Saccharomyces cerevisiae S288C: one gene and its partners. The protein of the gene in region 1 binds, or shares a complex with, the protein of each later gene. Each region holds a gene or a part of one and is shown in the gene's direction. Other genes may lie near its edges. The genes, in order: RPA49, RPB10, RPA12 and RPC10.

Region 1 (3,484 bases):
TCATGGATCAAAGATTCCTTGAAATCCAATTGATTGTTCCATTGTACTGAGGCAAAAGCCAATCTTAATTGGCGCGGTGAGAATTTTTTCAAAGCTTCTTGAATGGTAATGAAATTCTTTAAGGATTTAGACATTTTTTGACCCTCAATATGTAAATGGCCCGTATGTAAGAAATAGTTGATCCACTGTTGATTGTCGAAGCGAGCCTCGGATTGAGCCAATTCGTTATCATGGTGAGGAAAGGCCAAATCGATGCCACCTGAATGAATATCGATGTTAGAGCCTAGGATATCACTGGCCATCACAGAACATTCAATATGCCATCCTGGTCTACCCTTACCCCATGGTGATTCCCACTCAGGTTCACCTGCCTTGGAAGCCTTCCATAAAGCAAAATCATTATTCGACTTTTTTCCGTTATCAGCAAAGTTGCTTAAGGACCCTTCACCATCATTAATTAAGTCTAACTGGCCCTTATTCCATGGCTGGCATTTAGCATAGTCATGATTTGGGGATTTGTCAAATTTTAAAGTATCAAAGTACACGGAACCGTCGGAAGTGGCATATGCGTAACCATTATCAATAATTTTTTGAACAAAGTCAATAATTTCTGGAACGTACTCAGAAACACGAGTTGTAACGGTGGGAGGTAGCACGTTTAATGATAACATGTCATCATTGAATTTCTGTTCCCAGTAAGCTGGAAGTTGGCGGAAAATCTCTGGATTGCTAATGGTAGAGCCCAATTCTTTATCCAATAGAGGAACCGTAACGTCCTTGACTTTTTCAAAGGCAACTTCTGCGTCCATGGAATCGCCCTTAGTGATTGATTCAATAGCATTTTGAACTGCGGTGACATGCATAGGGAATTTAGGATTCTCCAATTTTAAAGTTTCAGTATCAGCATTCGATAACCAAGTTTCAAATTCTTCGATAGTTTTGATCTCGCTGCCTTGAATAGTAAAATTTTTGTTGATATATTGGAAAAGTGCGGTTTTGACCTTGTCAACAACAGTGGCGTTGAATTTGGTATCATTTTCTTTGACAAAATTGTCAAATAAATAGTTTTGTCTAGCTCTCAAAATAATTTTATCGTCGATATCAGTAACATTTTGCACAAATTGCACGTCGTAACCAAAATAATCTTGAATAATTCTTCTATTGATATCAATAGAGACATAGTTTCTGGCATGACCCATATGGGAGGCATCGTAAACAGTAGGACCGCAAGAGTACCAAGTGACACCTCTATTGCCAGATTGCGGAATGAATTCAACCTTAGATCTTGTTAAACTGTTGTACAACTTCAACACAGTTTCTTTAGCTTGTGGCGTTGGAACCTTCCATTTGGGCTGCACAATCTTCGGCGTAGACATTATAGTATATCTTCTCAGGGCTTTTATGAAGATATTCATGCATAGAATAAGAACTTGACCGGACACCTAATCACCGACGCCAATTAGCAATACTGTTCTTTTCAATTGATAATGTCTTTTGACTCTTCGCGATGAAAAATGTTTGCGGTCACCCGCGCTGAAAATTTTTTATTGCGATGAGCTGAAATTTTCCATCTCATTTTTAATAGTAAGTATTCTTGCATGAACACTAATGATATTAGGAGGGCTTTTTAAGTTGCTACCACTATTGCAGTCGTTATCAACCTTTTGCACTTTATCTAGTAATGTCCGTGAAAAGGTCTGTTTCTGAAATCGAAATTGAAAGTGTTCAAGATCAACCCTCTGTTGCCGTGGGAAGTTTCTTCAAGGGCTTCCGTGCTCCCAGTGACACTACGTTCGACTTATACAAAAAAAAGAAGTCTGAAAAGGACGAATTCGTATTACACGGTGAAAACGAGAGACTAGAATACGAAGGTTATACTGATTCTTCTTCCCAAGCTTCGAACCAGTATGTTGTGGGCCTATTTAATCCAGAAAAGAAAAGTATTCAACTCTACAAGGCTCCCGTACTTGTTTCCAAAGTTGTATCCAAGTCAAGCAAGAATCTAAGGGGTCCAAAAATAAAAAGTAAGAGTGATACTCGTCCATCTGCTTTGAGAAATGCGTTGGGTGAAGCGTTTGGTACTAAAAAGGCTAAAAAAGCTATTGCAGATCTAGAAAGAAACCGTATTGACTCTGATAAGTTGACTGATTCTGCTATTGACATTGTGGATTCCGTGAGAACTGCATCTAAGGATTTACCAACTCGGGCTCAATTGGATGAAATTACTTCCAACGATAGACCTACTCCATTAGCCAATATCGATGCCACTGATGTAGAACAAATTTACCCAATTGAAAGTATAATACCAAAGAAGGAATTACAGTTTATTCGCGTTTCATCAATTCTGAAAGAAGCGGATAAGGAAAAGAAGTTGGAATTGTTCCCATACCAAAACAATTCCAAGTATGTGGCAAAGAAATTGGACTCTTTGACACAACCTTCACAAATGACCAAATTACAGCTACTATACTACTTATCACTATTACTGGGCGTATACGAAAATAGACGCGTGAATAACAAGACGAAGTTGTTAGAAAGGTTGAACAGTCCTCCTGAAATCTTGGTAGATGGTATCTTAAGCAGATTTACCGTGATAAAGCCTGGACAGTTTGGAAGATCAAAGGATCGCTCCTATTTCATTGACCCACAAAATGAAGATAAAATCTTATGCTACATCTTGGCAATCATAATGCATTTGGATAACTTCATTGTTGAAATCACACCCTTAGCACACGAATTGAACTTGAAACCTTCCAAAGTTGTCAGTTTGTTCAGGGTACTTGGTGCTATTGTCAAAGGTGCCACAGTGGCTCAAGCTGAGGCTTTTGGCATTCCAAAAAGTACTGCAGCTTCTTATAAAATTGCCACTATGAAAGTTCCATTTAAGCTACCTGAAATGACAAGAAGAGGAAGAGGTCCAAGACGTTAGAGTTACCTAGAGGTATATACTGAGCATTTGGTTTGCTCTGGTTTTTTTTTTTGCTAGATGGTTCTATAAAGCAGCAAAATATAAGACGGTCCTCCTGATGAGAGGAAGAGAAAAACAAAAATAACTACATAGATATACGCTATTTTTTCTGAGAAGATACATATGTACAAATAGATATTTTACAATAATTTTAAACTTCGCAATAAATTCAATATTAATTCATAGCGTAGTTCGGCTTTCTAGCACCTTAGTAAGCTGAAATTTAAAAATGTATCAGTTTATTTTTTTCAATAAAGGTAACTTTAAATGAGAAACCAACGTGTTATATAGGTGAAATCATGAATAGCAGTCTGCAAGTTGGCATCGGAATTGATGTAGGTTCATCAAGTGCTAGAATAGGTGTATATAATTACTACAATGATGCGCTGTTAGAAATGGCGCAGGAACCAGTCCCATACTACCAGGATTCTTCAAAGAAGTCATGGAAATTCTGGCAAAAATCAACTGAAATAATTAAAGCCCTTCAAAAGTGTCTTCAGAAACTGAACATTAGAG
Region 2 (2,367 bases), on another chromosome or scaffold:
TCGACGTTCAAAGAATCGGAATAACAGATAATCTTCGAGAATTTAGGCAATTTCAACACGTCATGGTAATGGTGGGAAATCTTTTTGGTATACTCAACTGGGTCTCCAGAATCTTGTCTAACACCGACGTAAGCATCAGAATATGGTGGACGGAATGATTTTAAAAAGTCATCAGTTCCAAAAGTATCCGTTAATGCTAAACCAGCATTTTTTGCACCAAAAGTATTGATCCAACAATCCATTGCATTTTTATTGGCATGCAAATAATCTTCACTAATAGAAGCGACTCCCATAACCCACTCGTGAGCCACAGTACCGATTGGCTTGACTCCATATTTCTTGGCAAATAAAATATTTGATGTGCCTAATAATAGCGATTTGTTTCTGTCTGGGTTACCGTTCACAGCTTTCATGATTCCTTGCATAATTAGATCTTGAGCCTTCAGAGATCTACGACGTCTTGTACCAAATTCACTGAATCTAATACCATTATCAAACAAAGTTTCCGCCTTCTTCTCAGCTTGTTCTAATTGGTTTTCGTAGTCCCAGTCGATGTCAACAAATTTAAAATACGCTTCTGATATTAGGGACAGTAAGGGGATCTCATAAAGGATAGTATCCTTCCAACTACCACTGACTAAAATTTTCAATTTGTAGTGGGTGGGCTTGCCCTCGATTTCTTCTGAAGTGAAGGAAATCTGCTCTTCAGGGTGTAGTTTGTAATTAGAACTGCTAATATACTTAATATATGCCGATGGCAAATATGGGATTTCCTGTTTTAAGTATTCAATTTCCTCTTCTGTGAACCTCAAATTTCCCAAATACGAAAATTGCTCTTTCAACCAATTAATGGCTTCCTTATTGAAGGTCAATTGGGACGACCTGTTGGTATATTTATAAGTAACTGTAACATCTGGAAAATTAGTGAAGACAGCAGCATGCATCGTAATCTTGTACATGTCTGTGTCCAAAAGAGACTTTATCACTGGTTCTGACATGGTTATCTTGCTTGGCGAAAATAGGTACAAAAGGCTAAATCCACCTTTCTTCTAAAATATTATCTACCGTTTGTTTCCTTACAGTGACGAATTGAAACAAAAAAACTGATGGGATCCAATTTACGTTTCGATAACTGTTGAAAGGCTCGTCATTTTGGTTAGTCAAAGACAACAATTCTTTCATTTGCGAGTTTTTCCAGTCTTATAAGAACGGATCTGACGAATTTTTCACCCAGGCGCAGCAGCCATTTTTGTTGATATTTTGACGAATTTACAACGTAAAAAAGTAAGATGAAGGGTTCATATATGCAAAAGCAGACCTGATAAATCTTTTCATATTCTTGAGGTTTTTAAGCCCAAAATAAGCTACTATCAGCACTCCGATGGCTACTACACTGGAAGTGTCAGCAATTGAGAACACAAAGATCACGTTGAACGAAAAGTAATTTCTCACTCGTTGTATTTGGTAAAAAAAATTTCATAAGAAAAAAAAAAAGAAACATTGAATAAAATCACAATGGGATGATAGTTAAAGTGTATTCAAACTGTAGAGTGTAGAACGTAAACCTCAATAAGCAAAATAATAATACAAAATGATTGTCCCAGTCAGATGTTTCTCATGCGGTAAAGTTGTTGGTGACAAGTGGGAAAGCTACTTAAACTTGTTGCAAGAAGATGAGTTGGATGAAGGTACTGCATTGTCAAGATTAGGTCTAAAAAGATACTGCTGTAGAAGAATGATTCTAACCCACGTCGATCTTATTGAAAAGTTTTTAAGATACAACCCATTAGAAAAAAGAGATTAAGTGTTCCTCAATATGGCTGTTTTTGAACTTTTCTTTTCCTTGATGGATGAAAAAAAAAAGATGAGAGCGGTCATGAATATAGAAACGATAACCATTTATTCTCACACACTAAAAGAACTACACGACAACCAGATGTGTCTCTGCATACTGTAGGAATACCATTCTCTTCCAAAATAATAGAAAATAATATATATATATCTTTTGTTTACTCTTCAAGACGATAAAGGAAGTATGTAGATGTTACATCGTGCGATATAAGAGACTTGTATACTATAAGAAAGAGCTTAGATGAAGGGTATGCCTTTATTTTTTCAGAAAAATACACCCTAGTAATTATATAACGGTAAAAAATGCTATTTACAAATTCTCTAATGACACTATTTATTTTACATCATAAATTTTTGGAGACGCCCTTGTAGCTTTTCTTGAAAACCAAGATTGAATCTATTTTCTCCAAGGCTAATTCTAACAGCTCCTTTCTCTTTTGCAATTCAATATGCCTTGAAATCTTCGGATCTTCCTTAGCAAACATTTCCACTTGTTCATCTCCCAACAATGTTAAC
Region 3 (2,709 bases), on another chromosome or scaffold:
ACTTAAATTCGGCCCTTACGGCGACATTTCAATAACATAAATATGCGTGTAACCTTATTAATTTATAATGTCTAATTTATTATAATATTCCTTCACCTAAACACTTCAAATTGGACCTCACGCAATATAGCGCCTTCTAGACCCTTGCCCAAATTACCCAGCAACTCTACGCTTTCATTGAGAGAATCAAGCGAACTCTCATCATCATCCTGTGAACCTTTAGGTTTTTTACCGTTAAATTTATAAATGCCAGAACTTCCTGCAAAAATCGTGGTACCATCTTCAGTACCACATCTGTTAGCTAGCACCAAAATCGCATTCTTTCCTTGGAACTTCCAAGGCTGTCCAAGGGAGGTTCCCAAAAATGTCTTTTCCAGTACTGTATCCTTTATCACTTCCTCAGAATCCAATAAGTCTATTGTGTCCTCCTTGTGCTTTCCATCTTTATAATATTCATGATCTAGGGGCATTCTAGTTTTGCCCAAAATGCTTTCGATAAGAGATGAATTTTTAAACCAATTAATTCTGGATTTAAAGTACAAAAAAGGAAAAAATCGTAGAATCCAGTAGTTTACGTTTGACATATCTGGTTCATCCATATCCTTATATTCACTTGTACTGTCGTCAGAAGGCACTCTGGGCGTACGTTGCGAATCACCAATTTTAAGCTGGTAAATTCCTTGAGATCCTGCCAAAGGCAACCCTTGCTCCTTTAAAGCGAAAGCTATTTTGTTCTTAGCGGCTTCTAATAATGAATTGTTATGTAACGTCTGTTTGTCTGTGATAGAAGTAGAGTTTAACCACGCCATTGGACATAGAATCAATTCAACATTATTGTCAACGCAAAAAGAAGAGAATTCAAAGTGATTAAAGGGGGCCATGAATTTGTAGGGACTTAAGTCCATACAAATACCTATTGATGCTTTCAAAGTCACATCTCTGTTGTAAGAGTCCTCATTAGAAAGCTTAGCACACTTTGAAAAATCCATGGGAAACGTCTGAAATCCCTCTGGATTCTCCTCGCAATCCCAATTCATTTCTGTATCATAGAGAAAAGTCTTTCTGTAATTAAAGATCTGCTCCCCCTGCGGATTTACTACCAGGGCAGAATTGTATAGCTTCTGTTCATCATCATCTTCAGGATATCCTATTATAGTGTAGCATTGAAATTTCTCGGATATTGATTTAGCCAGTTCAAAAGAGGGCCCTTCATCTTTCTTAGTAACATAAGGTAAAATATCTTTTCTGGCATGAAAACTGTAACCTGTCAATGCAAATTCGGGGAATAGTATTATGTCTGGTTTCACATAGGTGGCACTTTTCGTAACTTTATCCAATATTGACCATGTTCTCTTAATTGTTTGATCTACTTGCCCAATTTGCGGATTGAGTTGAATTACTAGTACCTTTAGTGATACTAAAAGTTTTGTGCTCATCTTAGCACCATGAATTGCGTCTATTAGCATTCACTGAATGTCACGATAGAGTTATCGCTGTAAACTAGCACTTTTTAGCATTGAAATGCTTAAAATGTGTGAAACTAAAGTGGTTTTATTTCCAAAGAAGGGTTATCCCTTACTAGGGCAACGAATGAATATCTATTAGGGCTATAAAACAAAAATAGTTAAGTGAGATATATACCCTCTTGAATGGTGCAGGGTAAATAATTATATATCGTTACGAACGAAAGATGAAAAATATGAAAAAAAAAAAAATCAAATTTATGTCAAGTGAAGGGCATTGCATGGCAAGTGTAAAGAATCCAAGAAGAAAAGAAAGGCTTAAAGCAATCCAGGTTAGTACTTATAAGAATGTCTGTTGTAGGATCGTTAATTTTTTGCTTGGACTGTGGTGATCTCCTGGAAAATCCTAATGCCGTATTAGGCTCTAACGTTGAATGCAGCCAATGTAAAGCCATATATCCCAAGTCACAATTCTCCAATTTAAAAGTCGTCACCACGACGGCAGACGATGCGTTTCCATCTTCTCTTAGAGCCAAGAAATCCGTGGTTAAAACTTCTTTGAAGAAGAACGAACTGAAAGACGGCGCTACTATCAAGGAAAAGTGTCCTCAGTGTGGAAATGAAGAGATGAACTATCATACTTTACAGTTAAGATCTGCAGATGAAGGTGCTACTGTCTTCTATACATGCACTTCCTGTGGTTACAAGTTCCGTACCAACAATTGATTGGGTTGTGTTCGCACATATTACAATTTGTACATTAATATCATCCCCGCTTTCATCATGTGAACATCTATAGAACATCATTTATAAAAACAAAAAATCTATGTACTGACGATATAATAGCGTACATTATCATATTATTCTTACTATTTATCATACTCATCGCATCTACTGTTCTCGAGAACGTGTAAAGTGATTTATGCCATTGAATGAAAAATTTTGTTAAGGAACAACTAGAAATATAATAGTGTCTTGGTGGATGTGGCAAATGAGGTGTGCGTGATAAAGAGCTACAAACTCAAAGTAATAACAGCTATCATCCATTTTTATAGCAATATTTGAAAATGGCTGCTCGTCCACAACAACCTCCTATGGAAATGCCGGATCTGTCGAACGCCATTGTGGCACAAGACGAGATGGGTAGACCCTTTATTATCGTGAAGGATCAAGGTAACAAGAAGAGACAGCACGGATTAGAGGCCAAGAAATCACATATATTGGCTGCTAGATCAGTAGCTTCTAT
Region 4 (2,324 bases), on another chromosome or scaffold:
TGGTTAAAACGATTTCATATACTACTACAAGGGTATATCCGATTACTTTAGCTAATTCCGTCGTTTCTTCCACTACTGAAAAGATAACAGAGGTTTCAACGGTGTCAGCTTCAGAACAAGTTAGTGCTACTCAAACAAACTCATTGGTTTCTACTTCTACTGTTTCCACTATCAGTCCAACGATTTCATCTGGTTCTTCAACATCCTCTAGCTCTACATACGATATCGAATCATCTCAAAGTATCGAATCGTCAGGTACATCTTCCGCTACAGCCGAACCATCTGCGTCTTCAGGTTTTCGTTTGACTTCTAGTTCTGCTTTTGTTTCATCTACTGCACCTTTCTCTTCCCAACTTTCTTCATCTTCATCTTCTGAAACATCATCCTCATCATTTTCAACATCATCATCATCTGCCCCTCTTTCCTTAACTTCTTCTTCTTCTTCTTCTTCTTCTTTCGCCACTATTATTACCTTGGCACCATCGAGCTCAAAAAGCGGAAACTCTCAACTAACTTTGGCGTCATCGTCTTCCACTTCCGCAGTTGAGTCATCCCAAACAGGGTCCACTATAGCAAGAACTACCTCTACACTGGTACCCTCTTCTAGCGTAGATACAACGTCTAGAGCAACGACATCCATGCCATTAGAATCGTCTTCTACGCAATCGATATCCGTCTCCAGCTCGGATGGCACTTGTTACGTTTTTTATGATGATGATGACTACTATAGTACTGTCTACTTAACTAACCCGTCTCAATCCGTTGATGCCGCCACCACTATAACTAGTACAAACACAATTTATGCTACGGTTACCATTTAGCGCTTAGGCATAATGGTGGTGCATTCTTTTCTATTTGTTTTCTCAGGCGTATTTTTTCCATTATTTTTTGTTAAAAATAGTAAAAAGACAGTATTATTTATTCATTTTTCCTCGTGTTGTTATAACGACTAAGTTTCCTAATTTCTTTATTTTGTTTTTTTCTCATGATCTTTTCATTTTGTAGTTTCAACTATTATATACAATGTGTATACTATAACTTAATTTTATTAGTTACCTCTTACTAAGGATACTGATTCTTCCCCACTCATTTCATGAATTCATCACAAGTCTTTAGTATTTTTCATATGGAAATTACATCACCTATATATATCAAAATGTTCCGGCGAGTACATTGTCAGAATCTACAGTTTTTCCTGATATGAGCAGTGATATGGAGAAAGAGACACTAAATAAGAACAAAATATTGCCGTAGATTTAATGATTCAATCATGTGTGTCAAATTTGTTCTCCATTGCATCTTCCTATTTGACATTTGTCTCATGACCACGACATTGTACATTACCAGGTAAGGCTACAATTAGCCTCACCGATGTAACGTTATATAACGCTGCGGTCGTAGAATATGATTTTTCTGAATTTTAATTTTTTTTTTTTTTTTTTTCATTTCTTTAACATCTAAAATAGATTTTAGAATCAGAAAAGTGAAGAGTATTCCACATCATCGACTTATTCTACCAACATTTAATAAGAACGTACCCAAGAATAAAAGTCCACAAGTATAACAATGTCTCGCGAAGGGTTCCAGATTCCAACAAATTTAGACGCCGCAGCTGCAGGTACTTCTCAAGCTAGAACGGCAACTTTGAAGTATATTTGTGCTGAATGTTCTAGTAAATTATCTTTATCCAGAACTGATGCAGTCCGTTGTAAGGACTGTGGTCATAGAATCCTGTTGAAGGCTAGGACTAAGAGATTGGTTCAATTTGAAGCTAGATGAATGGAGAGACTGAAAACCATAATGGGTTACCGGGGCAGAATAATACGAAATAAAGAACCTAGGTTTTCCAAGGTTTTTGCAATATATAAACTTGTGCTTGATTTAAGTTTATGCAGCACTTTTCTTCCAGCAAATTCTTTATGTTTTTTTAAGGGAAAACGTATATCACTTAGAGATTATATTAATGAAAAAAGGTGTATACAAATGTATAATAATAATAGTATATAAGAAAAGTATTCGCTATTTATAGTGATTTTAGTTTGTACAATGTACTGTATTTTTTTTAAATGTAGTATTTTATATATATGTTACATTAGTTCGAACTGAAAAGGAACTTATGAATTAAATCATCACAATTCTTGGTTCTTCCGTAAAGCTGAATTGCCGGACGGTTATTCCCGCATTCTTCAAGACCTTGAAACTTTCCTCGTCCATTCTATAACTTTGGCTATAAACTACTTCACTGATGCCTGTTTGAACAATCTTTACAGAACATGTTAAGCAAGGGCAAGTATCACAGTATAAGGTCGCATTTTGACCTACAC

Evidence for each region.
Region 2: RPA49 (region 1) and RPB10 share a complex: the UniProt entries of both Saccharomyces cerevisiae proteins name them as parts of the RNA polymerase I (Pol I) complex.
Region 3: RPA49 (region 1) and RPA12 share a complex: the UniProt entries of both Saccharomyces cerevisiae proteins name them as parts of the RNA polymerase I (Pol I) complex.
Region 4: RPA49 (region 1) and RPC10 share a complex: the UniProt entries of both Saccharomyces cerevisiae proteins name them as parts of the RNA polymerase I (Pol I) complex.

Annotation. Positions count from the first base shown.
Region 1 is NC_001146.8:180,806-184,289, reverse strand, and holds RPA49 (DNA-directed RNA polymerase I subunit RPA49), read left to right. Parts: upstream 1-1,681; coding exon 1,682-2,929; downstream 2,930-3,484. Other genes in the region: CRS1 (cysteine--tRNA ligase), read right to left, coding at 1-1,415; MPA43 (Mpa43p), read left to right, coding at 3,268-3,484. UniProt on the Saccharomyces cerevisiae protein: DNA-dependent RNA polymerases catalyze the transcription of DNA into RNA using the four ribonucleoside triphosphates as substrates. Component of RNA polymerase I (Pol I) which synthesizes ribosomal RNA precursors.
Region 2 is NC_001147.6:736,729-739,095, forward strand, and holds RPB10 (DNA-directed RNA polymerase core subunit RPB10), read left to right. Parts: upstream 1-1,591; coding exon 1,592-1,804; downstream 1,805-2,367. Other genes in the region: NPT1 (nicotinate phosphoribosyltransferase), read right to left, coding at 1-998; dynamin-related GTPase MGM1, read right to left, coding at 2,196-2,367. UniProt on the Saccharomyces cerevisiae protein: DNA-dependent RNA polymerases catalyze the transcription of DNA into RNA using the four ribonucleoside triphosphates as substrates.
Region 3 is NC_001142.9:553,384-556,092, forward strand, and holds RPA12 (DNA-directed RNA polymerase I core subunit RPA12), read left to right. Parts: upstream 1-1,811; coding exon 1,812-2,189; downstream 2,190-2,709. Other genes in the region: NTA1 (amidase), read right to left, coding at 93-1,466; chaperonin-containing T-complex subunit CCT5, read left to right, coding at 2,531-2,709. UniProt on the Saccharomyces cerevisiae protein: DNA-dependent RNA polymerases catalyze the transcription of DNA into RNA using the four ribonucleoside triphosphates as substrates. Component of RNA polymerase I (Pol I) which synthesizes ribosomal RNA precursors.
Region 4 is NC_001140.6:385,667-387,990, forward strand, and holds RPC10 (DNA-directed RNA polymerase core subunit RPC10), read left to right. Parts: upstream 1-1,566; coding exon 1,567-1,779; downstream 1,780-2,324. Other genes in the region: DSE2 (Dse2p), read left to right, coding at 1-821; DCD1 (deoxycytidine monophosphate deaminase), read right to left, coding at 2,122-2,324. UniProt on the Saccharomyces cerevisiae protein: DNA-dependent RNA polymerases catalyze the transcription of DNA into RNA using the four ribonucleoside triphosphates as substrates.